4 linked regions of the Arabidopsis thaliana genome follow. The protein of the gene in region 1 binds, or shares a complex with, the protein of each later gene. Each region holds a gene or a part of one and is shown in the gene's direction. Other genes may lie near its edges. The genes, in order: TIF3H1, TIF3B1, TRIP-1 and EIF3C.

Region 1 (7,200 bases):
AGTCAAGCCAGGATTCTGATGTATGTAGAGCAGAGCTGAGGCCAAGTCCTCAGCTATTTTCAGGCATGAAGTCCAGTGAAGAGGCTTCCCACTTCCAGAAGCCCTAGTTCCTACAGACAAACACACACATAAAACACAATGAAGCTGGCTAATGTATCCAAGTTTCGATTCAACCCATCAAATCTCTGCATTGCTATATAAAACAGGAACCTTGAAAGAAGCTAAGGTACATACCGTGAATAAGAGTAAAGAGACTGCCATTAGGGAAGTAATCGTAGACGAGCAAGCGTTCTTCCTTGGCTTGAAAATAGGCTCTGAGAGGCACCAGATTTGGGTGTTTGAGCTGTCCAAGGATCTCAACATGTCTCTTGAACTCCTCCATGCGAGGATACCTTGCGTTCTTGAGCCTCTTCACAGTGACAATGAACCCAGACTCCATCACAGCCTTGTACGTGCTCCCCAACGTTCCTCTTCCCAATGTCTCTGCCGAAGCTTTTAGCAGATCTTCCATGGTGTATCTCACTACCGTCTCGCCTGAATCACTGGTTCCAAGGAAAACCAGAGTTCCCACTGCACCTTCTTCGCCTCTTTCCCATGAGAATCCTCTGTCTTTCCTCTCAATGTCTCTCTCTGTCTCTGCAGTTGTTGCTCCTTCTGCTTCCGCTATTCCTTTACCTTTTCTATCTTCCCTCGGTGCCTGGTTCCGCCGCTTCCGTCGCCAGCAGACGATAAGCAACGTCAATAGCAAGATAAGGACTAGTACTCCGCCGGCAACGCTTCCGGCGATAATCCCGATCAGCTTCGCTTTGCTCTTCTTAGACTTAGGTATAGGCGTTGGTTTCGCAGACGGCGCAGGTGAGATTCCGCATGGACTTCCAATCTGATCGCCGCAAAGAGCGACGTTTCCGGTAAACGATGACTCATCAAACTGCTTCAAAGCTCGTGTCAGTGGAATTTGACCAGAGAGCTTATTGTTGGATACATTGAAGTATCTGAGACTTGTCTGGTTAAGAGGAGGAATCGAACCAGTGAAGAGATTGTCCTCAACATTGAGCGTGTAAAGACGAGAGAGACGAAGCAACGAGCTAGGGATTCGACCGGACAGTCTGTTTCCGGAGAGGAAAATAGTTTTCAATCGGTGAAGAGACGTGAGAGACTCCGGGAAGTCGCCGGAGAAGTTGTTATCGTTAAGATAAACCGATTTGAGGTTAACCAAACCGGAGAGGTTAGGGATTGAACCGGAGAGAGAGTTAGCTTTGAAACTAAGAACCCTAAGTTGATCCAACTGGTTCAAACTCTTCTCGTTAAGTGAGCCGGTGAGATTCAAGTACTCAAGAACAAGCTTGGAGACTCTTCCATTCATACATTCTCTAACACCTTGCCAGTTGCAGAGATCTGTTCCTCTCCAAGAAATCGAATTAGATGGATCGATTGAAGATTTCAAGCTTAGTAAAGCTTCGACGTCGCTAGATCTCGCCGGAGTAACCAAACAGAAGAAGACTGTAAATGCAAAGACTACGAACGACACCGTACTCGAAGACGAAGAAGAAGAAGAAGAAGCCATTGTCGATGAATGATGAATCAATCAAATCAGAAAGAGTGGCTCTTTTCCTCAGCTCATAAAAGAAACAGAAATGATTGATACAGTTCGAAATCGAGTTTCCATAAAAAGCATCCCATGAATCTCCTCAAAGCCATCACTTTCTATTATTAAGTCACTTTCCAGATCTGCCCCATTATGCTAAAGCATCTCGATCGAAGCAAAAAAGGGAAAGGTAAAAAATGAAGAAGAAGAAGAAGAAAGTGAGAGCTCTGCTCTACTCTGCTCTTTAATGGCGGAAAGAAATCTTCTGGTAGTGAGCACTAAGAAGAGAAGAAGAAGCATTAAAATTCCCCGGCATTTTCTCTCTCTCTCACTTCACTTTCTGAGTATCTTTTCTCGAAGTTCTTGGTCGAGGAAGATGTCATCACGTGAAGCCATGCCTGGAAAACTTTTTTTTTGTTCTCACTGTGACATCTTCAATGCATTCATGAATAATAGTAGTATTATAAAAAAAATTAATAATGGGTTTATGAAGGAGAGACGAAGGAGAAAGAGAAAAATAATTCACGTATATTTTTGTCGTTATTGTTATGGTTGCTATTACTTTGCCAAGATTCAGAGACAGATAGGTTTTGGGGCCAAGGTAGTTACTGCTGCTGAGAAAATTTATATAGAGATTTTATGGTGAAGTGTGGTATGGAGCAGAAGAAATATGGTGGGAATAATTAATTTTAGGGATGATTTATTTAAAGTAAGGAGAGACATTGTTTTTCAATTTTATTCAGTTGGTGTCTGGTTCCTCTTTGCACTCTCTACCAATTATTGAGCTGCTTTTTTTTCCTACCTCTTTTTCTTGTTGAATCTTCACATGGTTTTTATAATATTTTTAATCGTATTTTAATATGGACCTCATGTTATTTATACAATGAGGATATAGATTGTTGGATTTTTGTTTGAGAGGAAAGTTAAAGATGTGTTAACATTCATGGTTGGTATTCAATCTCTAAAACGAGGATGTTGAAGTGTTTATTAAATTAGGAATTTATTAGTTGCTTAGCTTAAGCGTGATGAAAATGTAATAAAGAAGAGGTGAGAATTGAGTTCACGTAAAGGCTGAGTTAATTATTAACCAGCGGTCCACCAGTCCAAACACCAACCTCGCAAAGAGACTGCAGTCATTTAATTTGGCATCAATATTATTGTTGACTTCTTTGACCTTCAATGAATCATCAAGGTTTTCGACTTTCGAGTAATAAACTATAGTACATTTAATACGTTTTATATATTTGGTTTTACGTTTTTTGATACCAGTGGTGATTCTCTAGTTTTTGCCGTTTATTTAGGACATTGTTGATTTTCTTACGGACTTATGAAATGACCATGTCTTATAGACTTTTTAAAGTTGGTTACTAAAGATTAGACTTTGAATTAGTCCTCTTTTTCGATTAAACCCTAATACCGGATGGAATTTGGAGGGAAAGTTTCTAAAAGTTTTGGATTCTAGTTGACTCCATGACTGTTTGTTTTTTCTTACTAAGTTTTGACTAGTTGGTTAGTGTAATGGGCCCATGCTATTAAATTAAATGTTCAATATTTTGAGGAATATTATGGTCCTGGCCTTTTACAAGAGAATAGCATTATAGGTCCATGGGCTGGGTCCATCCTTATTATAGGTCGGAAAACATTTAGGGATCATTCTATAAGAATCTCAAATTTTAGGGCTCTTTTGCAATTTTAACTGCGAAACGCTTTTTTTTTTTCCTCTCTACACCCAAATTGAAGGGAAAAAAAAATCTGCGGATCCTCGAGAAGCCCTATCAAACACATAAAGTTCTTTCTCTTACTCATCTCCGCCGCCGGCAGTAAAAATATCACATCGTTAGGGTTTCACGGCGGAGATTCAAGTTCTTTGACCTAGGAAGCTTTCACTATCACCGGAGACTATTTCAATGGCAACCAGTCAGTATAATCATCCTCTCTGTTCTTCACTAGGACATAGAATTAATATTTGCATCTGTTTATTGACGATTTCTGTATATGTCGTGCTAAGTTTCTTCCGTGGTTTATTTCTGCAGTGGCTAGGTCGTTTCTGCAGGCGATATCGAAGGATGAGGCGGTGGCTCCTCCGCTTAGAGTTGTTCAGATCGAAGGACTGGTAACGTTTCTTAGTGTTCCCTGATTTTACGGTTTTAAGTGTTTTTCCTCGTTTTCTGCTGACCGATGGTGTTTGATAAATAAAAACTCTCTAGGTGAAGCTAATTTGCCCATTATCATTTGGTAGGAAGTTGTGATGCTGAGAATTTTGTTTGCTATTGTGATAGGCTGTACTAAAGATAATCAAACACTGCAAGGAGTTTTCACCGACCCTTGTCACTGGACAGCTTCTTGGACTTGATGTTGGTAGCGTCCTCGAAGTTACCAATTGTTTTCCTTTCCCGGTATGTTGATGAATTTTACACGCATTGTGAGGATTTAAGAGCTTGTTCATGATTGATGTACATGTGATTTACTGGAATTTGTATCTTAAACGAGGACAGGTCAGGGATGATGATGAAGAAATTGAAGCTGATGGTGCTAATTATCAGCTTGAGATGATGAGATGTCTGAGGGAGGTTAATGTTGACAACAACACTGTTGGCTGGTAGGTTTTTTAATGACATCAGTCTGAGTTCACTTGTTAAATTTTTTCTTGTGAATGTATTTAGATCTGCCTAATTCTTTGTTCAGGTATCAATCTACAGTTCTTGGTTCGTATCAGACTGTGGAACTGATTGAGACCTTCATGAATTACCAGGTACTTTTTTTTTTGTTAAAGAATCCTGTCTACCATGTCATTATAACATTCTAGATTTGGTCTGTTCATATGTTATGCTCTTCATTCAGCTGGAAATTTATATGTATAGCATGGCTACTCTAGTGTATGATAGGTATATTGGCATGTGTAAAAGTTGAATGTAAATTGGATCATGAATATATTTTCTGAGACTTTTTTTGTCCGCAACTCTGTTACAATCCCTTGCAGAATCATGATATGAACTCTTAAGAAATGATTCTTCTGCATCTACAGGAGAATATCAAGAGGTGTGTGTGCATCATATATGATCCCTCTAAAGCTGATCTAGGCGTCTTAGCTTTGAAGGCTTTGAAGCTTTCAGATTCCTTTATGGAGTTGTACCGAGGTGGAAACTTTACTGGCGAGAAGTATGTATCTTGATCCATTGAAAATCTAGGTTTTATGAGCCACTTAGGATGATAGTTGTAACGTTTTAATCACTATCTTTTTCAGGTTGAGAGAGAAAAATTTCTCCTGGATGGATATTTTTGAGGAAATACCTGTAAGTCTCTAGCTTTCTTCTATATTGAATTCTTACCAGCTAATCTTTTCAAGTCACTAGGTTGGAATTGTTACCTAATTATATTTTCCTCTGACAAAAAAAGTGGTTTAAATGTTTGTTACTTTTCCTTTGACAGATCAAGGTTTCAAATTCTGCCCTTGTCAGTGCCTTTATGACCGAACTGGAGACTGATACACCTGTCTCACAGGTACAATACTACTATCTGGATAGTGATCCTTGCTTGCTGTCAGCATTGCAGATTTTGACTCTTGATACTTCTGTATTTTCGCCTTTCTAGGGCGATTATGATCGTCTACACTCATCAACCACTCCTTTCCTTGAGAACAATATGGAGTTTTTGATTAAATGCATGGATGATTTATCTATGGAACAGCAAAAGGTGTGGTTTCTTCTGCACTCTTGTTCAATTCTCATCATCAGAAGTCCGAACTATCTTAACGCAAAATCTTAATTTATTTCTCCAGTTCCAGTATTACTACCGGAACCTGTCTCGTCAGCAAGCACAACAGCAAGCCTGGCTCCAGAAGAGAAGGTAGGTTTATATTTTCTGCAGAACCTTTTTGTTCTAGTTCAGGTTTGATTAGTTTCACTACCTCGTTATCTTGGAAGGTGATACAACTTTACTTACGAGAGTTGTGAATGCCTTGTAACATTTGTCTTCAGCTTTTCCTTGTCCTTTTGATCTTCCAACTAATGAAAGAGGTGTTTGGTTTATAGAACGGAGAACATGGCTCGTAAATCAGCTGGAGAGGAGCCTTTACCAGAAGAGGATCCTTCAAACCCAATCTTTAAGGCGATCCCTGAACCATCTAGGCTAGAGAGTTTCCTCATCACAAACCAAGTCTCAAACTTCTGTGGCCAAATCAATGGGTATGTTCCTCTTTAGTATTGTTTCACCATTTTTGGAGCTTTGAAAGATACTTAAAATGAGTCGACCTGTTGTTATGCAGAGTGGCTGGCCAGAACTTCAGCAGGCTTTACCTGACCAAAGCATTGCACGACAACTGATTGCAAAGACTACCCAAGTTTTTGTTTTTTGAGTCAGAAAGTGAAAGACTTGGTGGTAGAATGGATCCTATATTTGTTTTTCGTGGATGTTTTTGTTTTTATTTTTGTTGTTGTGAAGTAATTTAATTTACAAGCTTTTCAAAAAAAATCTTTATTCTTATGCATAATGAAAAATTATTGAAGTTTTGAAAGATTTATCTTGTATTGGACCTCTGATTGCCTTACAACAAATTATACATAGTTATCAAAATCCTAATCAAAAGAGTAAAAAATCTAATTTATAGAGATTTTATTATAGTTGTAGTGTTAGTTCCATCGCTAAATCCCTTGAACGACAACGTTTATTATTTCTTCTTCGGACGATTGTTTGAAGAAATTTAAAAACGACATCTTTTTATTACTTCCTCTTCGAAAGATTGTTTACCAACAAGAACAATGGCGGTTTATCATCTCCTTCTCTCGAGCCCACCTTCGCTTCTTCTTCTCCCTCCTTCTCCTCGCCGCCCTAACCTCACCTTAATCCGCCGTATCCCAGCTCATCCTCGCCTCGGAAACTCGACCAGCTTGCTTTCTTCTTCGTCACCGGTAATTCGGAAAATTCTGGTTCGTAGCACTCTCCGGGAAGACCAACCCATCGCCTCTGACTCCGAGAGTAGTCCTACTCTACTGATCGGTGAAGATTCTGCTGCTTTTGAATTAGGGAAACAGAAGCTTGTTTCCTGGGTTTATTTCGGTGTTGTCCTTGGAGTTGTTCTCTTTATCCTCAATGTTGTTTGGATCGATAATTCCACCGGTTTCGGAAAATCATTCATCGACGCCGTCTCTAACATCTCCGGCTCACCGGAGGTATAGATCAATTTAACAGTAACTGAACCAGTTTCAATTTCAGTTATTTGATTGTTAAAAACCACTTGTTTTTGCAGGTTGCTATGTTAATGCTTATCCTTATATTTGCAATTGTACATAGTGGTTTAGCTAGTCTAAGGGATATAGGAGAGAAACTTATAGGTGAACGAGCATTTCGTGTTTTGTTTGCTGGAATCTCTCTTCCTTTAGCTATGAGCACCATTGTGAGTACTCTCTCTTCTAACTCTGCAATTTTTCTCCTGATCAATGGTATAAATACCTGTTTGATGTCTCTTATGGTCTATGCAATGCCTTGTTCTTCTTTCAGGTTTACTTTATAAACCATAGATATGATGGGTCACAGTTATGGCAGCTTCAGGGTGTTCCTGGAGTCCATGAAGCTATTTGGGTCGCTAATTTTGTATCCTTCTTCTTTCTCTATCCTTC
Region 2 (8,264 bases), on another chromosome or scaffold:
TGTCTTGACAGGTTTTGAGGGTTTTGTGTCTCTGGCATTTTCGACAGTAGCATCAGAGGAAGATACAGACAAGCTTTTCTGGTAATTAAGTGAACGGAAACGGAGAAAAAATTTCCTAGCAGTTCCAAAAGAAGCAACGGATAAACCGTGGAAAGGGTCAAGAGAGAGATCTTGCAGATGGCTCAACAGCTGCGGCACATCGGCTTCCATATAGGTTTGTAAATGCGCTGAACCAAGCTGGGACAATTTCTTGGCCCCAGCTTCCCCAGAATACAAATTTTTTCTCTTCACTGGATGGTCAGAATCAGGCTCTTTCTTCTTTTTCTTTTTCTTTTTTGGCTCTGAAGGAGGATTCTCCGAGCTCATTTCACTTGAAGATCGTTTAGCAACTTTGACTTTCTTGATTACAGACCCTGTGGAACTTTTCCCCTCAGATGCTGAGGTATGAGACTCAAGCAGAGGCTGGAGAGAACTTCCAGCTGATCCAAGATCTGTTCCAGCTTCTTCTTTAGGTTTAAGACTCGCCATAGCTTCAGATTTCCCATGCTCTGGAAGTACAGCAGCTCTTTCTTCCATTCTCTCCTTTGATTTTTCAGCTAGACCCTTTTCTTCATCAAGAGAGGGCTTTGAAGCTGAAAATTCTTTACCAGGAATAGCTGTATTTGAAGAGGCAAAATCCATGCTGACGATCCCAGACTTCTCATCTTTCATTGGAGTTTGAAGCGTCGGAGCTCTTCTCTGCAGCCCAAAATCCCCATCCAAAGATCCATCAATTCCCTGGATATGAGAAGCTTCTGAACTTGCTTCAATTTCGCCAAACTGAACAGACTTATCACCAGCTTCATCCCTTCGTTTGAGAAGATACTTGTCTTTTTTTTTAGAGACCTTAACCTTTGTGGGTTTTTTAGAGCTCTTAAGGTCACCTAGCGTTTCTGCTATGACCAGTGGGCCACTCAAGGGAGCTGGAAATAAGAGAAATTGAAACAACACATCACCCACCAAGAAAATGAACAATAAAGCAAACAAGGTAAATGTATGCGGGACTCTCCATAGTAGAAAGAGGCGCAGAATTGTTATCAGGCCACGTTTTCGAATGCACAGTTTAGCATCAATGAGACTTCACTATTCTTTCAAGCATGCTATGTAAAGAATTCAACTACAAAGATATAAATCCTAAAATCATGAGCACAGAGGATCTAAAAGTAAAACCCTAAAACCAAGTTACAGTATCTAATATCTATGTAACACATATGAAAGCTGTTTCAAGTCTACAACGAAAAAACCCATATACAAACAATAACATGATTTTCTGAAAAGTGGCTAATACCTCGAGGCGGTGCTCTATTATGAGGTTCCAGCGTACTCACTGAACTGCGGGGTGATTTTGTCCCAAAGGCCTGTGCATAAGTTTCATCAAACTCCTCAAACACTGACTTGCGGAAAGCAAAAACCACTGCTTTCTTCTTCATAAACTTTAAACTGTCTGGATCACACTCTTGAGGTGCTAACGCCAATTGCTTCACAAACGAAATGGTTTCAGCGGGTAAAAACTTATCCCTAGAATTCTTAATCTGATCAACAGAGTAAACGGCTTGAAGCTCGTAATCAGGCACATCAACAGCAAAGTAATCTTCCACATTACTAGGCCTAAAGTTATAAGGATTCCGACATTTACAAGTCAAACCAAGAGCTGACCTTCTACTCGCCTCATCCTTGGCTTCCTCCACAGCTCTCACAAAATGCTTCGAAACCGTCTGCTGTGATTTCTCCTCTAAATTCGGTTCGAAAGGAATAAGCTCAGCAGGATCAAACCAACCATAACTACTATCACCGAAAAACGCAACAAGAACATGATCAATCCTCCTCATACGACGAACAGAAGGAGACGCAAAAGCTTCATTGAATATATGACCAGGCCACCAAGGATGAGACTTTACCTTTCCCCAAACCAAATCTCCAACTTCAAACCCATAACTCAATGCCCTCGAAACTCCAGAACCCATTTTCTCACTTGCAACATAATCATCAAACTCAGATAAAAGAGATTTATAATCCGAAACTCCTTTTTTCTCTTCCTTCAAACCCAAATCTAATTCCTTCTCATCAGCTTCAGAACCAAGCTCACTAGATTGATCATCAGAGCCATCTTCTTCTTCTTCTTCTTCTTTAACCTCAGAACTCTCATCATCCTTATCAATTAAAACATCCTCGCTTTTAATCTCATCTTCCTCCTCACTCCCTACGACACCATCTTTCTCCGATCTCTCACTTTCGAGAACCCTAGCGTCATTTGTAACCGCCGAATCTAGCTCCATAGGTGAAGAAGCTTCAACATCATCATCAATGGCTTCGTGAACATCCCCGCTCGAATCAACTACAGTATCATCTGGAGTTACCTTAGGATCCTGAATCGAATCCGTTTGTTGAACAATCACAGCATCCTCGTTCATCACCGGGATTAATTTAGTTTTGTACATTACAAATCGATAAGAACCCTAGCAACAACAACAACGATCCTCCGATGAGAGATTATCCGAATTTGGTTCTCGAGGACACCAAATGAAAGAGACGGATTATTGTTAAAAAAAAAAAAAAGCTAATCGAGAGAAAGACAATAAATTAGATCTACTGATTACTATTGAATTGGGCTTACCCGGCCCATATAAATATTTATAAGCCCGTTTAAGGAACCGACGTCGTATGATCCAAAAAGACCTGAAAACAATCGCTCCTTCTTCCTCACCTTCAAGCGCCGTCTTCTTCTTTGTTTTTTGCTCTCGGCTGATCTCTGTATTGGGTACGTTTCTTATCTCGATTTCAGTGTTCATTTGTTTTTTTTGTCTTTTCTTATGTAGCTATGAGACAGGATCCAGAACGATGCAATAGATATAAGAGAGCCTTCAGGAAAATTTTGCCATTTTTCTCCATTTCACCTGTTGTTGGGTTCTAGATTAAATAAAACTAGAGTATAGTTAATAATTTCTATAGGCATGGTTTTAGATTTACATTATAGTGGGAGTGATGATTCAAAGTTTTAGTCTTTGAACATTTGGCCATGGTAGTTTGTTGTTTTAATACTTGTTTAGGGTTAACAAAAAACCTACTTTTAGATCTAAAGACTCAGATTTTTCACATTTATTTATCGACTTAAAGTTGGAATGTGTTAAAGACTGATAGCTCTCTCTATATGGCTTTCTTTGGCAGATTTTTGATATAAGGTTTGAAATCATGGAGGTCGTTGATATTGATGCCCGAGCTGCTAAGTTAGGGATTGATTGGTCTCAGGTTAATTTTGATTCCATCCAACTTCCTCCTGGAGAAGACTTTGGGATCGAGAGGTGAGATTTTCCTTTAGATCTCTGGTTGTTCATATACGGTCACTTCTATTTCTAATCTTCTTGTGTTTATACGATGGGATGATTTTATTCTAGGTTTTGCTATTGTATGTATGAAAATTTTGTGTATTTCGAATTGGTTTATCTCTTTCCTTGATGGTGCAAAGCTTATTATATTTATACATTTTATCTATGAACGTATGAAAAATGGAACTGATTCGTTATACACTTTTTTTTTCTGTGATGGTTGTAGTGATGATGAAGCTGTTTACCAGGATGACCAGTCTGAATTCGACACTGGATTCGGTAACATTATCGTGGTCGATCACCTCCCTGTTGTTCCCAAGGAGAAGTTTGAGAAACTTGAAGGTGTTGTCAAGAAAATTTACAACCAGTTAGGTGTGATTAAGGAAAATGGACTGTGGATGCCTGTTGATCCCGATACCAAGATGACATTGGGCTACTGTTTTATTGAGTTCAACACTCCTCAGGTTATTTATCTACTTGATTAGCTTAATCTCTGTTTTGTTGGATTCTGAAGCAATAATGTCGGCGTCATATGTTTCAATACTTTATTTCTCTTGTTAGAAAGGAGCCCAAACTAGGTTGTTCTTAATGGTTGAGTATTTCCTAAGAGTTTCTCTCAATGTCTGGGGCTCTTTGCAGGAAGCACAAAACGCTAAGGAAAAGTCTCATGGCTACAAGTTGGACAAGTCTCACATCTTTGCTGTAAACATGTTCGATGATTTTGACAGGTTGATGAATGTGAAGGAGGAGTGGGAGCCTCCTCAGGCCAGGCCCTACGTCCCTGGGGTATGTGTAGTTTTCATCATGTTACTCCCTGTACCTTGAATAATTTTCTTTGAATAACTTCCATTGTGTCTGTGTAATCACTTCTTTATTTTGGTAATTCGCTGATTTATTTTGTGTTTGCCTGCTGCGTTAGGGTTAGGATCTTTTTACGTAATTGATGTATACTAACTAATAACTATAATTTCATAACTCTTGTTTCATGTATATATTTTAATTCATTGCAGCCTTTTGTGGTGCTAATTGTCGTTACTTATATGGTGTTTGTTTTTTCAGGAAAATTTGCAAAAATGGCTTACTGATGAAAAAGCCCGAGACCAGCTAGTCATTCGTTCTGGCCCTGATACTGAAGTTTTCTGGAATGATACTAGGCAGAAGGCGCCTGAACCTGTTCATAAGCGTCCTGTAAGTTACTTCCTGTGTGTATATCCCTTTTGTTTACTTGACTGTTTAGAGCAATGTATATGTTATGTTACCTTCATTTGAATTAATATCCCTTATTTGTTTACTTGACTGTTTAGAGCACTTTTATATGTTATGTTACCTTCATTTGAATTAATGATGTTCTCTTCCTATGCAGTATTGGACAGAGAGTTATGTGCAGTGGTCTCCTTTAGGTACATACCTTGTGACACTCCACAAGCAGGGGGCAGCTGTTTGGGGTGGTGCTGATACATTCACGCGTCTCATGCGTTATCAGCATTCTATGGTTTGAATTTCCTTTCAATTGCTACATATTACTTCCGTTTTTCCTCTGTTGGCCTGAAAATTGCATCTTTTGTTGATTATGTTTTAGGTAAAACTAGTTGATTTCTCGCCAGGTGAGAAATATCTTGTAACTTACCATAGCCAAGAACCAAGCAACCCGCGAGATGCAAGTGTGAGTGCATCTTTTCTTCTGTTCTTTTCAACTTTTACTATTTGTGACGCTGAATTCTGTCAAACTTTCAGAAAGTTGAGATTAAGGTTTTTGATGTGAGAACCGGGAGGATGATGAGAGATTTCAAGGGTAGTGCTGATGAGTTTTCAATTGGAGGACCTGGTGGTGTTGCTGGTGCCTCTTGGCCTGTTTTCAGGTAATTCTTTCAACTGCATGTCAATGTCCTAAAAATAAACAGCCAATATTATCATCTTCTCCACTATTATGGACATATGTTGATATCTTGTAAACTTTTTCTACAGATGGGCTGGTGGAAAAGATGATAAATACTTTGCCAAGCTTAGCAAAAACACTATCTCTGTCTATGAGACTGAGACTTTCAGCCTAATAGACAAGAAATCCATGAAGGTAGATAATGTTGTGGATATCTGCTGGTCTCCTACTGATTCCATCCTTTCATTGTTTGTTCCTGAACAAGGTGGTGGAAACCAACCTGCGAAGGTATGTTTCTATTATTTCTGATGTACATGAAAAGCTCTGAATCCTTAATTTGCTTCTGTTTCTCTGCCTGGTGTTTTGAAATTACATGTTGATATCCCTTCTTCAGGTTGCCCTAGTCCAAATCCCGAGCAAGGTGGAGCTGAGGCAGAAGAATCTCTTCAGTGTGAGCGACTGCAAGATGTACTGGCAGAGTAGTGGAGAGTATCTTGCTGTCAAGGTTGATCGATACACAAAAACTAAGAAGAGCACATACTCTGGATTTGAACTTTTCCGTATCAAAGAAAGGGATATTCCCATCGAGGTTCTTGAGCTGGACAACAAGAACGACAAGATCATTGCTTTTGCATGGGAGCCCAAGGGTCACAGGTTTGCTGTGATTCATGGTGACCAACCAAGACCAGATGTCAGTTTCTACTCAATGAAGACCGCACAAAACACTGGAAGGGTTTCAAAGCTCGCAACTTTGAAGGCCAAACAAGCTAATGCCCTCTTCTGGTCGCCCACAGGCAAGTACATAATTCTTGCTGGGTTAAAAGGTTTCAATGGCCAGCTTGAATTTTTCAACGTGGATGAGCTCGAGACAATGGCCACAGCTGAACACTTCATGGCCACGGATATCGAATGGGACCCGACTGGAAGGTCCTACTGTCTTAACTAAACCAGTCCTTTGGTTGTTTCTATTTGTTCCAATTGCTGATGTTGTTTGCACTTTTTTATTTTCAAAGGTACGTTGCAACCGCAGTGACATCAGTCCATGAGATGGAGAATGGGTTCACCATATGGTCTTTCAACGGGATTATGCTTTACCGGATATTGAAGGATCATTTCTTCCAGGTATGTAACAAGAAAAACTCGGTCTTAAACGAGCATCGTCCATTCCGATGTCTAATAAAATATTTGTGTATGGTTGGTTACACAGTTGGCTTGGCGTCCAAGACCTCCATCATTCTTGACTGCAGAGAAGGAAGAAGAGATAGCAAAGACCCTGAAGAAGTACAGCAAGAAGTATGAGGCAGAGGATCAGGACGTGTCGTTGCTGTTGAGTGAACAAGACAGAGAGAAGAGAAAGGCATTGAAGGAAGAATGGGAGAAATGGGTAATGCAGTGGAAGTCTCTGCATGAAGAGGAGAAACTCGTGAGGCAAAACCTTCGGGATGGTGAAGTAAGTGATGTGGAAGAAGATGAATATGAAGCCAAAGAAGTTGAGTTTGAGGATCTTATCGATGTCACTGAGGAAATCGTTCAAGAGTCGTAAGATACTCGGTCTCTTTTGTTGCCATCTCTTTGGATCCCTTAGACAATTTTAAATCGTGTTCGCTATACTTGGAAGATAATTTTTGGTTCCTTCATGATTGAAAATTTCGTTGTTAGTTGATGAAGTATGGTGCTTATCACATGTAATGGTACTAAATGGTAGAAAAATTACCAATACAATATAGCTTGTAGTGTAACATAATTACACACAAATCGGTAGAGCTTATATAGAAACTGAATCTTCAAATGGCAACTCATCAATCATACTGTAGTAGAAACAACTATAGACCTTATTTTCACTAGTAACAATGCGGAGACGCTAAAAATTGTCTATACTGTATTTCTCTCTTTTTCTTTCTTTCTAAAAGTAAATACTGATATTGGTAATGACAAAAAAGAGTTACCCGAAAAAAAGTTTCATGGGCACTCATGTTTTAGGCGGAGGAGTTCCAGCGAGCCAACCCCAGACGCCACCAGAGCTTTGTCGTTTGGCGTTCATGGTGGCGGCTTGTTCAGACGCAACGGCTCTTTGACGTTGGAGGAGTTCGAGTTCCTTTTGAAGTGTTTCCATTGTCTGAAGCTTTTGTCTTAGCTCTGCAACTTCAACCTGCGGGCACTTAGACCGAGTTTTGTTAGGATTTGGTCAACATCGGAGAGGAATGTTTCACCATCGAGATTCAAATATCAACCCAGACTTACTATAAAAGTGAAACAAAATGACTTTCTTAGTAAAAGGTGTAAATACCTACCTCTAGTTTGAAACACCTTGATTGTTCCGCTGCAAGTTGGTTCCGCACAGATTGAAGTTCCTATAGATGGAATACCAAAAATGTTGATACAACAAAAGAATCTCCAAGAAATTCTCAACTCATTTGTCTTGCTTATTAGTCATTTCCACGGTTTATTGAATTTTTCCAAAATACTAAATTTCAAGACTGAACAAGAACCAATTTTCAGAAAACCAACTACATGATTGTGTTCTGTTGGCTATTCGTTCTGGTAAAAGCGAGATCAAAGGCAAGACAGATTCATGAAGGTAAATAGTACGGTTACCTTGTATAACTCTGTATTTCGTGTGTCTATCTCTGCTAACTCTTCCTTTAGTTGGAGAGTTTGTATCTTTTCCTTGTTGAGTGATGCCTCCACTTCTTCTTTTTCGGATTTAAGGGTTGTGATAATGCGGTCGGCTTTTCCTTCAACCTGAGGATTTAATATCCAGAATACAAAGGAGAAAAATAAGAGATGCATTGTGATTATCTAGTCTAATTTGATATTCACAGCGTTTAAACTGACGGGAAGACACCTTTAATCTGGAGTTAACATTATCCATGACAATTTCCCTTACTTTGCCTTCTTGGCTCACCTTGATCTCAGACTCAATATCTCTAGTCGTGGCGTTATTAACAGCGGAAAAACTATCTGGCACAGCAGAAGCTCCCATAATCTTGGATTTCAAGCTTGATTTGTGGCTTGGTTTAAGAACA
Region 3 (6,583 bases), on another chromosome or scaffold:
TTTTTCTTTGGTCGGTAAGAAGTAGGCATAGGGACGGCTTTTCTCATAGGTTGTTGTTGAATGGGAGGTGGAGGAGGAGGAGGAGAGGACATGTTTGGATCTCTGTAACCTGGTGGCTTTTGAAGAACCGGGTTCATCTGATAATCTGCCATCTTTTTTCTCTTAATTATTCACCTCTCTGACGATCTCCTGATAAATCGTATCAAGGAAGATCAAAACGAAATCTTCAAAATGGAGAGAGAGATGCTATGATGATGATGATTGCAGGCAAACTTGGTTTCTAAGAGATTTTGAGTTTTTGGAAGAGAGAGAGAGAGAAGAGAATGTTTTTTTGTGTTGCGTTGTCTCTTCTCTCTCGTTAATGGAAGAAGGCTGAGACGTGAGGAAGGGATTTCGTTTTAGGCCCGAGACTCACGCGCGCCGTTTTTGTTGCTGACGTGTTCCCTCTTTTTTCTCTTCTTCCTACATTCATTGAAATATTCAAATTTCAGTTATTAGATTAGTCGATTAATTTATAACTGATAATCATATTGAGTTTGATACATCCAAAGTGGCATGGGCCTACAGATTAGATGTTTAGGCCAGGTGGACTCTGTTTCGAGCCCATTACTGCCACGTGGCTCTATTCGGAGTTATTTACCAATGGTACGCTCACCGGTTTAACGATTCACCACTTAAAGCCCTCAAAATCTCAGAGAACGCTCGCTGATCAAATCCGTCGTCCTTCAACCGTCGCCTCCTCCGTCATGACAATTGAGTGCGTTAATCCCGAAGGTCTTCGATTCAACCAAGTATGTGCACATATCTCTTCCTCCGTTTGGTCATGTACTTGTTTCCGATTAATGTATTATCTTTTGTTCTTTCTATTGAATTGATTTCGTATCTGTTTGCAAGATGAAAAGCTCCTCTCATCAAACCCTAGAAACGAGGATGAGGCCGATTTTGATGAAGGGACATGAACGTCCATTGACGTTCCTGAGGTACAACAGAAATGGTGATCTGCTTTTCTCCTGCGCCAAAGACCACACTCCCACAGTCTGGTTTGCCGATAACGGCGAGCGTCTTGGCACTTACCGTGGCCACAGTGGTGCTGTTTGGTGCTGTGATATCTCCAGTAAGTGGTCTCAGCCTCTCAAATTCAAATAGTATATAGTGGATGGAATGGATTCAGTTTAGGATTTAAGTCGTTGTCTTTGTTGTTTTAGTCTTTCATAGCTTAACGATTAGTGTTTTGTTTGTGATTTCTTAGGAGACTCGTCTAGATTGATCACTGGTAGTGCTGATCAGACTGCAAAGCTGTGGGATGTGAAATCTGGCAAAGAATTGTTCACTTTCAAGTTTGGTGCCCCTGCAAGGTCTGTGGATTTCTCTGTTGGTGATCATCTTGCAGTGATTACCACTGATCACTTCGTGGGAACTTCCTCTGCTATTCATGTCAAACGCATTGCAGAAGATCCCGAAGACCGTAAGTTGTCAATTCTAAGTTAAAATCTACTTATGTTTTTTAGCCTATGTCTTTTTTGTATGGGTAAAAGGAATTGATTTAATGTAATTGATGTAGAGGTTGGTGATTCTGTGCTTGTCCTTCAAAGTCCTGATGGAAAGAAGAAGATCAATAGAGCTGTTTGGGGTCCCCTGAACCAAACCATTGTTAGTGGTGGTGAAGATGCTGCTATCAGAATCTGGGATGCAGAGGTATTTCAACTTTCTTAAGGCCTTTCTTTTGTCTATCAATATCTCTCTTTTTTTTTTTATTAGCTTAAACCTTATGTGGTGCTACTGCCATTGTTACTAGACTGGAAAATTGCTTAAGCAATCAGATGAGGAAGTGGGTCACAAGGAGGCCATTACATCCCTCTGCAAAGCAGCTGATGACTCTCACTTCCTTACAGGTTCACATGACAAAACTGCAAAGGCATGTGCTTCTTTCTTTTACTTGTTTCAAAAATATGCTCTATACATATTACATATAGAGATAAATCATCTAATAGAGTGTTCTTTTTGTTGATTCTTTCAGCTTTGGGACATGAGAACGCTGACTCTTATTAAGACTTACACCACTGTGGTGCCTGTAAATGCTGTCGCCATGTCTCCACTTCTCAACCATGTATGCACTAATGCTTCTTGAAATTCAAATTCGGTTCCCAAAAGCAACAAGTCTTGATGTTATCTTTGTGAATGTTTCTGCTCTCGCTCTTTTAGGTTGTGCTTGGAGGTGGTCAAGATGCATCAGCTGTGACTACCACTGATCATCGTGCTGGGAAGTTTGAAGCTAAGTTTTACGACACGGTTAGTGTTGCAGTAAAACAGTTTTATTTAAAAACTTGTAACCTGGAAAGAGATATGTAACTGTGTATTTGGTCTTATAATATATAGATTCTGCAAGAGGAAATTGGTGGCGTGAAAGGTCATTTTGGACCTATTAATGCTTTGGCATTCAGTCCTGATGGGAAGAGGTAAACTAACAAAATTTGATTTTGATTGATTGATACAATCCTCAGTTGATGAGAGTGTTTTTTAGGCTTTGTTGCTGAGTGTTTTTTGGAATGTATTTTCAGTTTCTCTAGTGGAGGTGAAGACGGCTACGTGAGACTGCATCATTTTGACTCCAATTACTTCAACATCAAGATTTAGATTCTTTGAACATGTCTTTCCATTTTTTCATCATTCCACATAATATTTTCTCTCTTTTTAACATTTTCAGAATTGATGTACTACCAAATTACCAATATACTACTTTGATGATAAAGCTTGTTGTTTGTCTTTTCAAATAGACATATGCACCCACAAAAAAAAAACGTATGAAACTGCTTTTGAGAAAGGAAAAAAACAAAATAGGCGCAACGGGCGAGGTTCGAACTCATCAAATAGGGAAGAAGCTAAAAACGCTGAAGCCACTGAGCTTTGCTAAACTGTGGCATCTCGAGTAATTTAAAAAATTACAAAAGGGTAAAAGTGTCAAAAGAGAGGACAAAGTTGATTTCCTAGGGTTTTTGCACTTCTTCCTCGTCGTCTCTCTCGTCTTCAAGTGAACAGGTGAAGAAGAAAGCCGTTTTCCGTAATCGTTTCTTCAATTATTTTTCTTGTCTTTTGATTGATTCGATTTCGTATCTGTTTCAAAGATTCGCATCAAACCCTAAGAAACTGAAGATGAGGCCGATCCTGATGAAGGGACATGAACGTCCATTGACGTTTCTGAGGTACAACAGAGAAGGAGATCTGCTTTTCTCCTGCGCCAAGGACCACACACCCACCCTCTGGTTTGCCGATAACGGCGAGCGCCTTGGAACTTACCGTGGTCACAACGGTGCTGTTTGGTGCTGTGATGTCTCCCGTAAGTTTCTCAATTTCTCTTCAAATAGTATCGAGTCGATGATTAGATTCATTGTTTCCCCTTAGCTACAAGCTTGTTTAGGGTTTATAGTATCGAGTGAATTCTGTCGTCTTAGTCTTTCAAAGCTGAATGTTTAGTGATTTCTTAGGAGACTCGTCAAGATTGATCACTGGTAGTGCTGATCAGACTGCAAAGCTGTGGGATGTAAAATCTGGAAAAGAATTGTTCACTTTCAAGTTTAATGCCCCTACGAGGTCTGTGGATTTCGCTGTTGGAGATCGTCTTGCAGTGATTACCACTGATCACTTCGTGGACCGTACCGCTGCTATTCATGTGAAGCGTATTGCGGAAGATCCTGAGGAACGTAAGTTGTACATTCCTAGCTGAATTACTACTTACGTTTTAGCCAACTTCTTGTATGTGTTAAAAGGAAATTGTTTGTTTGATGCAATTGTGTAGAGGATGCTGAGTCTGTGCTTGTCCTTCATTGTCCTGATGGAAAGAAGAGGATCAATAGAGCTGTTTGGGGTCCCCTGAACCAAACTATTGTTAGTGGTGGTGAAGATAAAGTTATCAGAATCTGGGATGCCGAGGTATTTCAATTTTTCTTAAGGCCTTACTTGTGTATTAATTTCTCTCTTTTAAGGTTATGAACTAAACCTTATGTGGTGCTACTGCCATTGTTACTAGACGGGAAAATTGCTCAAGCAATCAGATGAGGAAGTGGGTCACAAGAAGGACATTACATCGCTCTGCAAAGCAGCTGATGACTCTCACTTCCTTACAGGTTCACTTGACAAAACTGCAAAGGCATGTGCTTCTTTCTTTTACTTGTACAGTATATCTTGTTTCAAATTTTTGCACTATACATATAGATATAAATCATCTAATAGAGTGTTCTCTTTTGTTGATTGTTTCAGCTTTGGGACATGAGAACGCTGACTCTTCTTAAGACTTACACCACTGTGGTGCCCGTAAATGCTGTCTCCCTGTCTCCACTTCTCAACCATGTATGCACTAATGCTTCATGAAATTCAATTTCGAATCCCAGAATCAGCAAGGCATGATGTTATCTTTGTGAATGTTTCTGCTCTCTCTTTTAGGTTGTACTTGGAGGTGGTCAAGATGCATCAGCTGTGACTACCACTGATCATCGTGCTGGAAAGTTTGAAGCTAAGTTTTACGACAAGGTTAGTGTTTATAATAAGAGTGTTTTACTTGGAAACATGTAACCTGGAAAATACACATATTTAAATAACCGTGTATCATTGTGTTTGGTATAATATATAGATTCTGCAAGAGGAAATTGGTGGTGTGAAAGGTCATTTTGGACCTATAAATGCTTTGGCATTCAATCCTGATGGGAAGAGGTAAATTAACAACATTTGGATTTTGATTGATTGACACAATCCTCACATGATGAGGTTTTGAGTGTGTGTTTTGGCTCTCTCACTGAGTTTGTGGAATGTATATTTCAGTTTCTCTAGTGGAGGTGAAGACGGTTACGTGAGGCTGCATCATTTTGACTCCGACTACTTCAACATCAAGATTTAGATTCCGACTACTTGAACGTCAACCTTTTAGAATCTTTGAAAAAGTCTCCCATTCCGGATTTTGTTTTCTCTCTCTTTTAACATTTTCATGTTTTTATTTACTACCAATACAAATACCTTGATGATAAAGCTTTTGAATTTTGACAGAATCTTTAGTTTTCATTTCCAGAGTTCTCAGTACAAGTTAATTAACCTGCTCTATGTGTGAGCGAGCATTAATATTCAGCTTTTATAAAATAAACTCGGTTGTAGAAAAGAATGCCTTGTGTGATTGACAGTCCTCAAGAGTAGCGAAGAAAATCACCCAAAGACAGACTCATAATGTTTGTGATATTCGTGATGATTATTGGATCTATAAATTTTCGGAGAGAGATGTATGAAACCTGAAAAGAAAGATCCTTTATGCATGAAACCTTGACAAAAGAAACAAAAGCTTACGCAAAGCAATAACACCGATTTCATAAAATTACATCAGGTCTAAAACAAGGAAATGCAACAAAGGAAGCCATTTTATAAAAAAAGAAAAGCCTCTCTATATTAACAGTAACAAACCATAACACCAAATTTTCATCTGGAGGAAAAGTTTCTCTTTCTCCCTCTCTCTCTCCGAAAATTTATAGATCAATAATCATCACACCTCTCTCTCTCTCTCTCTCTCTACTATACTATCTATCAAGTTTTTCTGAAATTAGTAGCACTTATTTTCTTTGTTTATGTCGACAAATTAAGTAGAAATCGACATGAATTACCATCGATCAGCCTGCAGCTACTGCTTTAGCTCGAGGCTTCGTATCGAGCAGTTGATGCAATTTGCTTGTAGAGTTAGAATCATTGTCTCCTTGGTTCTTGTTCTTATCTCCAGCTCCTGAGTTCTTAACTCTAGACAACATATTTGCGGGGACTCTCTTTTCGGGTTCCGAGCATTTCAGTTTGTCCTGCAACCCAAAAAGAACCGGCCATGTTCAAGAAAATGACACGCCTTCATAAAGATAATTTGTTGGTTAATGATAGCTTACTTACCAACAAGGTTGCATTTGCTCCTCTTAGTTTATCAGATTTCTCATTAAGTTGGTTTAGTTCAGATCTTAATGCCATGTTTTCGGCTGTCAAGGCTTCCACTTTCCTAGCAAGTTCTTCTGTCTCGGCCTTCAAAACAAGGAAAGACAGTTTGTTAGTTTATTAAATGTTTTGGTGAGAGTTACACACTAAGAGAAAGAATTTCTAAAGAGCTTCAGTGTATTCTTTCAGTAACCAAACCTGTTTCCTTAATCTTGACCTTCTAGCAGATTCTCTATTAGACTGTTTCCTTCGCTCCCGTTTCAGTTCTCTCTCGTTCTGAAGACAAAATTTAATACTTGGTCAGGGAAACGGATCAGATTAGCTCGAAAATCCAACAAGTGGAAGTTGAGAATAAGTCACAGGGTACCTGAAGCCAAGTTTCAGGAGGAACCATGGCTAAAGATTGTGACATGAAGGGGTTGGAATTTGCACTTACACCAGGAGAGAGTATAGCTCCAGATCCTTGAATGAGTTTTACGCCGGTATCACCACTTGACGGAGAAACAGAATGAAATGAGCTAGCTTGAACCAATTGTTTCCCATCTGCCAAAAAAACCGAATTAAAACTCCCATTATATCTAATATTTACACTGATTCTAACTCTTTGGGACATGAATAAGGCTATATACCTTTTGTT
Region 4 (7,925 bases), on another chromosome or scaffold:
TTATTAGGAATTTTAACTGTAAGCCGAACGACTTGCATATTATTGTTCCTCCTTTGAAACTAGTTGATCATGCAGAATCAGGGGTATTTTTAGTAAGATTGTTTCCTGGTCTATATTTCCGAATTGCTTAGCAATTTGTTCTCAAAACAACTCATGATCTTGTATCTATGACTATGAGTAGGATTCAAACTTCAAAGTCTTCTATTAAGAATGAGTATTGCGTCTTCTGACACTGAAGTTAACGTGGTTTGACCTCTAATCAGATTCCATTTTGGGTATCAAGATACATAGCTGGGGGAGTAGGGGTTTCGTTTCCTACTGACCAACTATTCAGAAGTCTTATAGTTACTCTGTTAATTCCTTTAATCATTGGCAAGGTGAGACAATCTTTCTGTTTGTCCTGTTCTTGCAATGATGAATCAATATAAATTCTGATATACGGTACAATTGTGAAAGCTAAATTTGCAGAGGTGGTTGTTGCCAAAAGATATGTGAATACTTTATTGGAAATTATAATAGGGTTGTTGCGTGGCTCATTTGAAAATGAAGAAAGCTTACTCTCTATTATTTGTTACTTTCCCTGATGTTTATATGAACCTTTCACAAACAGTCATTTCAGCATGAAGTTCTATCACTTGCCATTTTGCACACGTTTTTAAAATCGAGCTTTGACATACTTGGTTTCTTCTGTTATAGGTTATTCGAGAATCATTCAAAGGTGAGCGCCATTTGTTATATTTTACTTCTCTGGTGAAAGTAATTGAATACATACCATTTTAAATAGTTAGCAGTCACTTTATCGTGACAATGGATCAAAATGGTTCTGTTTATAATAAATATATATGCTTATCGCTGCCTACTTTCTGACCTTGTTGAAACTCTTGTTGAAATGTGTGATACAGGTTTCGCAAACTTTGTTGACAATAACCGTAAACTCTTTTCGAAAATCAACGCAATCTGCCTCAGTTTGGTAAGATATGAAATGTTAGTCTCCCGTAATTTCTACACCCCTTGAATAACTTTCTGAAGTCATATCCTTGGAGTTTTGCTTTGTTGCAGGAATCTTAAACTTGGCATTTTAGATGCCTGTACTTAAAACTTTCTCTTTTCTTGTATGATAGCTTGGGATTTCAACATTCCGTGGCATTGATGTGCCAATCCAAAGCTTTTACTAAATTGCAAAAACCATATTTGCAGTCACGGTTATGACTTTGGAGATAGAAGGACTTAATACTTTTTTCCTTTTTATAGTTTAACCTCTGCTTCCCTGGCTACTTCAACTGGTCTGACTTTGTTATTGCATTTACCTGGTTATTTTGGGAACTTAATAGTGTTTATTCCATGATTAATATTCTAGGTGCCATGGATCCAAGTGAGCAGGTCAAGATCACTGCTACTATCCGTTCAACCTAAGGTTTTCCTTGCAGCAGTTGGCATTGGAATGTACGCATTCTTCTTTTAACATATAGAAAAGATACCAAGTGAAGAAGCTCATGGAAATATTTGGCTTGTGTGTTAGAAATGCGGATTACGTTTGACAGAAGATTCTTACGTCTTCTTACAGATTGCTGCATCTTTCTCTACTAGCATTCAATGCTGTTTCAATCCGCATCCTCTCCGGTCTTACAGGTGGTAGCAAGAGCTCCAAGGAAAACAGCACTGCAGTTTTGCTCGTTTCAAGCCAGGTAATAATAGAGTTTGCCTTTTAGAACCGATTTTGATCTCTTAAATTTGGGAGTTCTTTTCTTGTGGTGGCATAGAAAACATTACCGGTAATGGTGGCGGTAGTAGAGCAATTAGGAGGTGCATTTGGTGAGACAGGGCTATTGGTTCTTCCTTGTGTAGCTGCACACCTGAACCAGGTTACAAATTGTATTATAATCATCATGTACTTGTGTGCATAATTTTATAAATTATTGACGTAAATCTGGAATGTTACAGATCATGATTGATTCAGTTCTTGTCAACTTATGGCTCCGGAGAGGAAAAGATACTTCGACTAAAGTAAAGACAGCTTGAGAGAGAGAGAGAGAGATAGAAAGCAATGAAACCAATGCTGTGGAGAAGGTTACATCCTAAACACACTGAATGTCAGTTATATACATAGCAGCAAGACTGGGGATTTTGATATCTTTCCAATCACCAAAGCTTAGTTGATCATTGACCATCTCTCTCTCTCTCTCTCTTTCTGTATGTATATGCTCTAGAGATTCCGGTCGGTGTTTGCTGATCCAATTTGTATGATTTATGAAACTATGTAAAAAAAAAACTTGTATCTATATTTGAAAACATTTAGTCATTTGACGTTACCAGCGTACAAAGCAATTCATATGTAATCTGTCTGATAAGCAGCTAGGAAAGAGGACTAAGAACCGGTTCTTTTCTCAATTTAATTGAACTAACCATCACTACAATTTCATTTAGTCCTGGTTCGACCAATTCGGTTTGTAAATAAAATAAAAACCGATCGAGAGCGTTTTAATTGTCCTCGGTTTTCAGTTTCGGTATGGAAATAGAATCAAATCGAATCCGGTTTAGTGAGTAAATCACGAAACCCTAATTCTATATATTTTTTCATCTCGACCAAAATGCTTGGACGGCTACACACCATTTTTGTTTAGATTCGTAATCCTCCTCAAGCATCTCCTTCGCAAATCTCCATCTCCATCTCCATCTTCTGAATTCAGGTAATTTTGTTCCTCATCATCTAGCGTAACAAATTTTCGATTCTAGTTTGGTGTAGATTGATTCGAATCGATTCTAATTCTTTGTTGATACGAGTCTGTATCTGTGACACGATTGTTTCGTTCAGATTATGTTCTTCGAATGGATTGGTTTGTTTTACTTATAATTTCGTTCCTCTGATTCACTATTCAGATTTGTTACTTTTGGTGTATCAGGTTCTTGTTGCTTACGCTTCCAGCTAAAAAGATGACGTCTCGTTTTTTCACTCAGGTTTCCTTCAACAGACCTCTTGTTTATAAACTCTCTTTACCTTTACTTGCTTCAGTTTCTGAATGATTTTTACTTGTTATGTTGATAGGTTGGAAGTGAAAGTGAAGATGAAAGTGATTATGAGGTAGAGGTTAATGAGGTTCAGAATGATGACGTCAATAACCGTTACCTTCAAAGTGGTAGTGAGGATGATGATGATACTGATACGAAACGTGTGGTTAAGCCTGCTAAGGATAAACGTTTTGAGGAGATGACCTACACTGTTGATCAGATGAAGAATGCTATGAAGATCAATGATTGGGTCAGCCTTCAAGAAAACTTTGATAAGGTTAACAAACAGCTTGAGAAGGTTATGAGGATTACTGAGGCTGTGAAGCCTCCTACCTTGTATATCAAGACGCTTGTTATGTTGGAGGATTTCTTGAATGAAGCTCTTGCCAATAAGGAAGCCAAGAAGAAGATGAGTACTAGTAACTCCAAGGCTTTGAACTCAATGAAACAGAAATTGAAGAAGAACAATAAGTTGTACGAAGACGATATCAACAAGTATCGTGAGGCTCCAGAAGTTGAGGAAGAGAAACAACCTGAAGATGATGATGATGATGACGATGATGATGATGAGGTTGAAGATGATGATGATTCTTCCATCGACGGACCTACCGTAGATCCTGGGTCCGATGTGGATGAACCTACTGATAATCTCACTTGGGAGAAGATGCTGAGCAAAAAAGATAAGCTTTTGGAGAAGCTAATGAATAAAGATCCTAAAGAGATCACTTGGGACTGGGTCAACAAGAAGTTCAAGGAAATTGTGGCTGCTCGTGGAAAAAAGGGCACTGCTCGATTTGAGCTAGTTGATCAGCTTACGCACTTGACAAAGATTGCCAAGACTCCTGCACAGAAGCTTGAAATCTTGTTTAGCGTTATTTCGGCTCAGTTTGATGTGAATCCAGGTCTCAGCGGGCACATGCCTATCAATGTCTGGAAGAAATGCGTGCTTAACATGCTCACCATACTGGACATTCTCGTCAAGTACAGTAACATTGTTGTGGATGACACAGTTGAGCCTGATGAGAACGAAACTTCAAAGCCAACAGATTATGATGGAAAAATTCGGGTCTGGGGAAATTTGGTTGCATTCTTGGAGAGGGTTGACACTGAGTTTTTCAAGAGTTTGCAATGCATTGATCCTCACACCCGTGAGTATGTTGAGAGGCTAAGGGATGAGCCCATGTTCTTGGCCCTTGCTCAGAACATCCAGGACTACTTTGAGCGGATGGGTGATTTTAAAGCTGCTGCAAAGGTAGCCTTAAGACGTGTTGAGGCAATATACTACAAGCCCCAGGAAGTTTATGATGCAATGAGGAAATTGGCTGAGTTGGTGGAAGAAGAAGAAGAAACTGAGGAGGCCAAAGAGGAAAGTGGACCTCCTACTTCATTTATTGTTGTTCCGGAGGTTGTTCCCCGTAAGCCTACCTTCCCAGAGAGCAGCCGAGCTATGATGGATATTCTTGTGTCCCTTATCTACAGAAATGGAGATGAGCGGACCAAAGCGCGTGCGATGCTATGTGATATCAATCACCATGCTTTAATGGACAACTTTGTGACTGCTAGAGACCTGTTGCTGATGAGTCATCTGCAAGACAACATCCAGCACATGGACATCTCAACACAGATTCTCTTTAACAGGACCATGGCGCAGCTTGGTCTTTGCGCCTTCCGGGCTGGAATGATCACTGAGTCCCATAGCTGCCTTTCCGAGCTGTACTCTGGTCAAAGAGTGAGAGAGTTGCTTGCCCAAGGTGTCTCGCAAAGCCGATACCATGAGAAAACCCCGGAGCAGGTAACTAGTTATCTTCTGTTTTTAGATTTAATACAGATAGGATTGAAAAAAAATTGTTTGACCAGATAGTTCTGATTGAGACATGATTACAAACACTGTTGCATTTTTGGGTTCTTCATTTTGTTTCATTTCACACAATCCATTTTCTCTATTTCAACATGGATGCTTATGGTTATGTTTTTCGTTCAGTTTATTTATATGTGATATAAAACTTTCTTGGTTTATTTCTTGATTTACCAGGAAAGGATGGAAAGGAGAAGACAAATGCCGTACCACATGCACTTAAACCTTGAGCTTCTGGAGGCAGTTCATCTCATCTGTGCCATGCTTCTTGAAGTCCCAAACATGGCTGCAAACTCGCACGATGCCAAACGCAGAGTGATTAGCAAGAATTTCCGCCGCCTGCTCGAGATCAGTGAAAGGCAAGCATTCACTGCACCGCCTGAGAATGTACGTGACCATGTCATGGCAGCCACCAGAGCCCTGACCAAAGGAGATTTCCAGAAGGCGTTTGAAGTTTTGAACTCTCTTGAGGTCTGGAGGCTGCTCAAGAACCGTGACAGCATCCTTGACATGGTGAAGGATAGGATCAAAGAAGAGGCTCTAAGGACTTACCTATTCACATACTCAAGCTCTTATGAGTCCTTGAGTCTTGATCAGCTGGCCAAAATGTTTGACGTCTCTGAGCCGCAGGTCCACAGCATTGTGAGTAAGATGATGATTAATGAGGAACTGCATGCAAGCTGGGATCAGCCAACACGATGCATCGTCTTCCATGAAGTGCAACACAGCAGATTACAATCATTGGCTTTCCAGTTAACGGAGAAACTCTCGATTTTGGCAGAAAGCAATGAGAGGGCAATGGAATCTAGAACCGGTGGAGGTGGTCTGGATCTGAGTTCAAGGAGAAGGGACAACAATCAGGACTATGCAGGAGCAGCATCAGGTGGTGGTGGATATTGGCAAGACAAGGCGAATTACGGACAAGGAAGACAAGGCAACAGATCAGGTTATGGTGGAGGAAGATCATCTGGACAAAATGGTCAGTGGTCAGGGCAGAACCGAGGAGGAGGGTATGCAGGAAGAGTTGGTTCAGGAAACAGAGGTATGCAGATGGATGGCTCAAGCCGTATGGTGAGTCTTAACCGAGGTGTTCGTACTTAAAGAGGATGAGGAGAAATCTGCAGTGTTGACCTTAGTCTCAACCTTTTGTTATGTTTTGGATTCCTTTTGGTTATCAAATGGTTCTTTCTAAGAGATGTTCATCACATTTTCTCGCATTGTGATTGTTTATTTTCTTTGTGATATTGGCAGTTGTTGGAAAAGACTTTTAAGAATGCTTTACTGGAAAGTTTAATAAGTTTTTTTTTATGCGTCATTCTTGTTGAAAAGAAGAAGGCTTAGGTTTTTTCTCGTATGCTTGCAGGTCTGTTTTTGTTGATGTCTTTTACTCTTTCATCTTTGTTTGCTTAGTAACTTCCTCTCGATGAAGTGTTTGATTAATTTCTTATCAAGAACATCTGTGATTTAATCGGCTACTTTCGTGGAGCTAGCGACAATGAATATTGTTGAGAAAATTCTTTTTTTTTTTTGGAACTCTTATCTTATTATAACTCATGTTGTATGGCAAACACAGATACAAAAAAGAAACACAAGCTTGTCGTAGTAAGTACTAAGTAGTAACTAGTACAAGTGACATGGTTGCATTTGCCAAAGCCGGATAAAGATGCTGAAGAAGTATCCGGTGGAGTGAAAGGCTCTTCTGCTGCACTTAAAAGGATAATAATGCTGTGGACTTGCGGCTCAGAGACGTCAAACATTTTGGCCAGCTGATCAAGACTGGAGGACTCATAAGAGCCGGATAAAGATTCTCTCAGCAATCTTCACATCACTCATATTGTTAGTTATTGTCACTCTCTCTCTACTCTATGTTGAATCTGCACAATTAATGTTGATGATTTAAATGTCCTTTTTCTTTGCTTACATACCAAATAGAATTTCTGAACCACAACTTATTGCCAGCTGAGATACCATCTCCTTCTCCCGTGCAAAAGTATTTGTCAACTAGAAAAATGATTGCTTAAGTACGAAGAACGATAAATAGAGAAACAATCAATGTGAGTTTAAGACAACAAATTTATATTGAAACCATCACTATTTGCCAAGCACATGTACGAACATACAACTTAAGAAATGTGAAATTATTATATGCTAATTTCTACGATCTAAAGCTTATATGGCAAACAACTATTAATTGATAACTAGTGGGGTAGCCTCACCAGTATCATTGATTATTGAGCTTATCGATACTTTCCTCTTCAGTAGTAGTATCGCATTCCACTGTCGGTTCTTCCAAAGCCTCTGAAATTTCTTTAGAGGCTGGGATGCTTTTCTGAGTTTGCAGACCCGTAGAGCGTGCAAGATCGATCCATTGCTGCAACATTTTTATCAAAAGTTGGGATCAAATCAAATAGTACTGTACTTCAAAAATAAGAATTTAGGAGAAAAGGAAATAAAGATGTAGAAAATGAAACCAAATATTCAGGCTTGTAACTCTGACCTGCGTTCCGAAATATGAGTTTAGGGTCCTGACAACAAATGAAATAGCATTTACAAGTAGAGGTTGCGAAGAAAGCTCATCAGATAGGCGATGCTCTATTAATCCCGCAATTATCTGCATTTAAAGACACTTTGACATTAGATGCATATATCAAATCATAATGTCTTTAATCAACACTCTTCCTTAGCCAAGACGTCGCGGTAACATACACATACCATCACTGTCAAGCAGCATGGATCATCATACCTGGTAACGAAGATTTGCAGATGTTCCCAGAAAACCTCCGTAAACCATTGCCGTCTTCAGAAGAGGAGACCTCTTAGGTTTCTCAGCCACAACCAGCTCGGGTTTAATGACCTTTCGTGCTATATTCAATGCATTTGAAGCTCCCACAGCTGCAAAACTGGAAACAACTCCAACACCAGCAAGCTTCAAGCCACCAACAATAACTGAAGCAATTCTAAGATTCAGGTTCCACTCTCTTCCAGCAAGACTTTTTTGAAATGCGTTATCAGGTATGGATCCTAGGAGGCCTCTCAGGGCGTCTATGCTGTCTGGTCCAGTGGT

The links.
Region 2: TIF3H1 (region 1) and TIF3B1 share a complex: the UniProt entries of both Arabidopsis thaliana proteins name them as parts of the eukaryotic translation initiation factor 3 (eIF-3) complex.
Region 3: TIF3H1 (region 1) and TRIP-1 share a complex: the UniProt entries of both Arabidopsis thaliana proteins name them as parts of the eukaryotic translation initiation factor 3 (eIF-3) complex.
Region 4: TIF3H1 (region 1) and EIF3C share a complex: the UniProt entries of both Arabidopsis thaliana proteins name them as parts of the eukaryotic translation initiation factor 3 (eIF-3) complex.

Annotation. Positions count from the first base shown.
Region 1 is NC_003070.9:3,606,592-3,613,791, reverse strand, and holds TIF3H1 (translation initiation factor 3 subunit H1), read left to right. Parts: upstream 1-3,175; 5' UTR 3,176-3,492; coding exon 3,493-3,502; exon of another isoform or gene 3,503-3,618; coding exon 3,619-3,698; intron 3,699-3,864; coding exon 3,865-3,981; intron 3,982-4,080; coding exon 4,081-4,184; intron 4,185-4,270; coding exon 4,271-4,337; intron 4,338-4,610; coding exon 4,611-4,744; intron 4,745-4,829; coding exon 4,830-4,878; intron 4,879-5,014; coding exon 5,015-5,086; intron 5,087-5,176; coding exon 5,177-5,278; intron 5,279-5,363; coding exon 5,364-5,431; intron 5,432-5,616; coding exon 5,617-5,769; intron 5,770-5,849; coding exon 5,850-5,907; 3' UTR 5,908-6,161; downstream 6,162-7,200. Other genes in the region: AT1G10850 (Leucine-rich repeat protein kinase family protein), read right to left, coding at 1-110, 235-1,564; Z-ISO (15-cis-zeta-carotene isomerase), read left to right, coding at 6,343-6,753, 6,831-6,977, 7,082-7,200. UniProt on the Arabidopsis thaliana protein: Component of the eukaryotic translation initiation factor 3 (eIF-3) complex, which is involved in protein synthesis of a specialized repertoire of mRNAs and, together with other initiation factors, stimulates binding of mRNA and methionyl-tRNAi to the 40S ribosome.
Region 2 is NC_003076.8:9,779,724-9,787,987, reverse strand, and holds TIF3B1 (translation initiation factor 3B1), read left to right. Parts: upstream 1-2,699; 5' UTR 2,700-2,797; intron 2,798-2,812; exon of another isoform or gene 2,813-3,204; 5' UTR 3,205-3,228; coding exon 3,229-3,338; intron 3,339-3,588; coding exon 3,589-3,826; intron 3,827-3,923; coding exon 3,924-4,148; intron 4,149-4,421; coding exon 4,422-4,550; intron 4,551-4,725; coding exon 4,726-4,854; intron 4,855-4,941; coding exon 4,942-5,025; intron 5,026-5,096; coding exon 5,097-5,221; intron 5,222-5,327; coding exon 5,328-5,526; intron 5,527-5,632; coding exon 5,633-6,165; intron 6,166-6,251; coding exon 6,252-6,360; intron 6,361-6,445; coding exon 6,446-6,781; 3' UTR 6,782-6,978; downstream 6,979-8,264. Other genes in the region: AT5G27650 (Tudor/PWWP/MBT superfamily protein), read right to left, coding at 1-962, 1,328-2,477; ACBP5 (acyl-CoA binding protein 5), read right to left, coding at 7,208-7,387, 7,530-7,589, 7,834-7,980, 8,084-8,264. UniProt on the Arabidopsis thaliana protein: RNA-binding component of the eukaryotic translation initiation factor 3 (eIF-3) complex, which is involved in protein synthesis of a specialized repertoire of mRNAs and, together with other initiation factors, stimulates binding of mRNA and methionyl-tRNAi to the 40S ribosome.
Region 3 is NC_003071.7:19,001,961-19,008,543, reverse strand, and holds TRIP-1 (TGF-beta receptor interacting protein 1), read left to right. Parts: upstream 1-2,811; 5' UTR 2,812-3,036; exon of another isoform or gene 3,037-3,122; 5' UTR 3,123-3,150; coding exon 3,151-3,334; intron 3,335-3,482; coding exon 3,483-3,698; intron 3,699-3,793; coding exon 3,794-3,927; intron 3,928-4,024; coding exon 4,025-4,144; intron 4,145-4,254; coding exon 4,255-4,344; coding exon of another isoform or gene 4,345-4,365; exon of another isoform or gene 4,366-4,437; coding exon 4,438-4,524; intron 4,525-4,624; coding exon 4,625-4,704; intron 4,705-4,812; coding exon 4,813-4,888; 3' UTR 4,889-5,386; downstream 5,387-6,583. Other genes in the region: AT2G46300 (Late embryogenesis abundant (LEA) hydroxyproline-rich glycoprotein family), read right to left, coding at 1-152; AT2G46290 (Transducin/WD40 repeat-like superfamily protein), read left to right, coding at 747-791, 895-1,114, 1,250-1,465, 1,562-1,695, 1,796-1,915, 2,018-2,107, 2,203-2,289, 2,377-2,456 and 1 more; GBF3 (G-box binding factor 3), read right to left, coding at 5,643-5,822, 5,908-6,033, 6,145-6,222, 6,314-6,489, 6,576-6,583. UniProt on the Arabidopsis thaliana protein: Component of the eukaryotic translation initiation factor 3 (eIF-3) complex, which is involved in protein synthesis of a specialized repertoire of mRNAs and, together with other initiation factors, stimulates binding of mRNA and methionyl-tRNAi to the 40S ribosome.
Region 4 is NC_003074.8:20,831,827-20,839,751, reverse strand, and holds EIF3C (eukaryotic translation initiation factor 3C), read left to right. Parts: upstream 1-2,476; 5' UTR 2,477-2,687; intron 2,688-2,877; exon of another isoform or gene 2,878-2,900; 5' UTR 2,901-2,931; coding exon 2,932-2,955; intron 2,956-3,043; coding exon 3,044-4,798; intron 4,799-5,038; coding exon 5,039-5,962; 3' UTR 5,963-6,342; downstream 6,343-7,925. Other genes in the region: AT3G56160 (Sodium Bile acid symporter family), read left to right, coding at 1-18, 264-377, 697-718, 903-970, 1,358-1,443, 1,565-1,685, 1,761-1,862, 1,942-2,019; AT3G56140 (DUF399 family protein, putative (DUF399 and DUF3411)), read right to left, coding at 7,083-7,232, 7,359-7,472, 7,605-7,925. UniProt on the Arabidopsis thaliana protein: Component of the eukaryotic translation initiation factor 3 (eIF-3) complex, which is involved in protein synthesis of a specialized repertoire of mRNAs and, together with other initiation factors, stimulates binding of mRNA and methionyl-tRNAi to the 40S ribosome.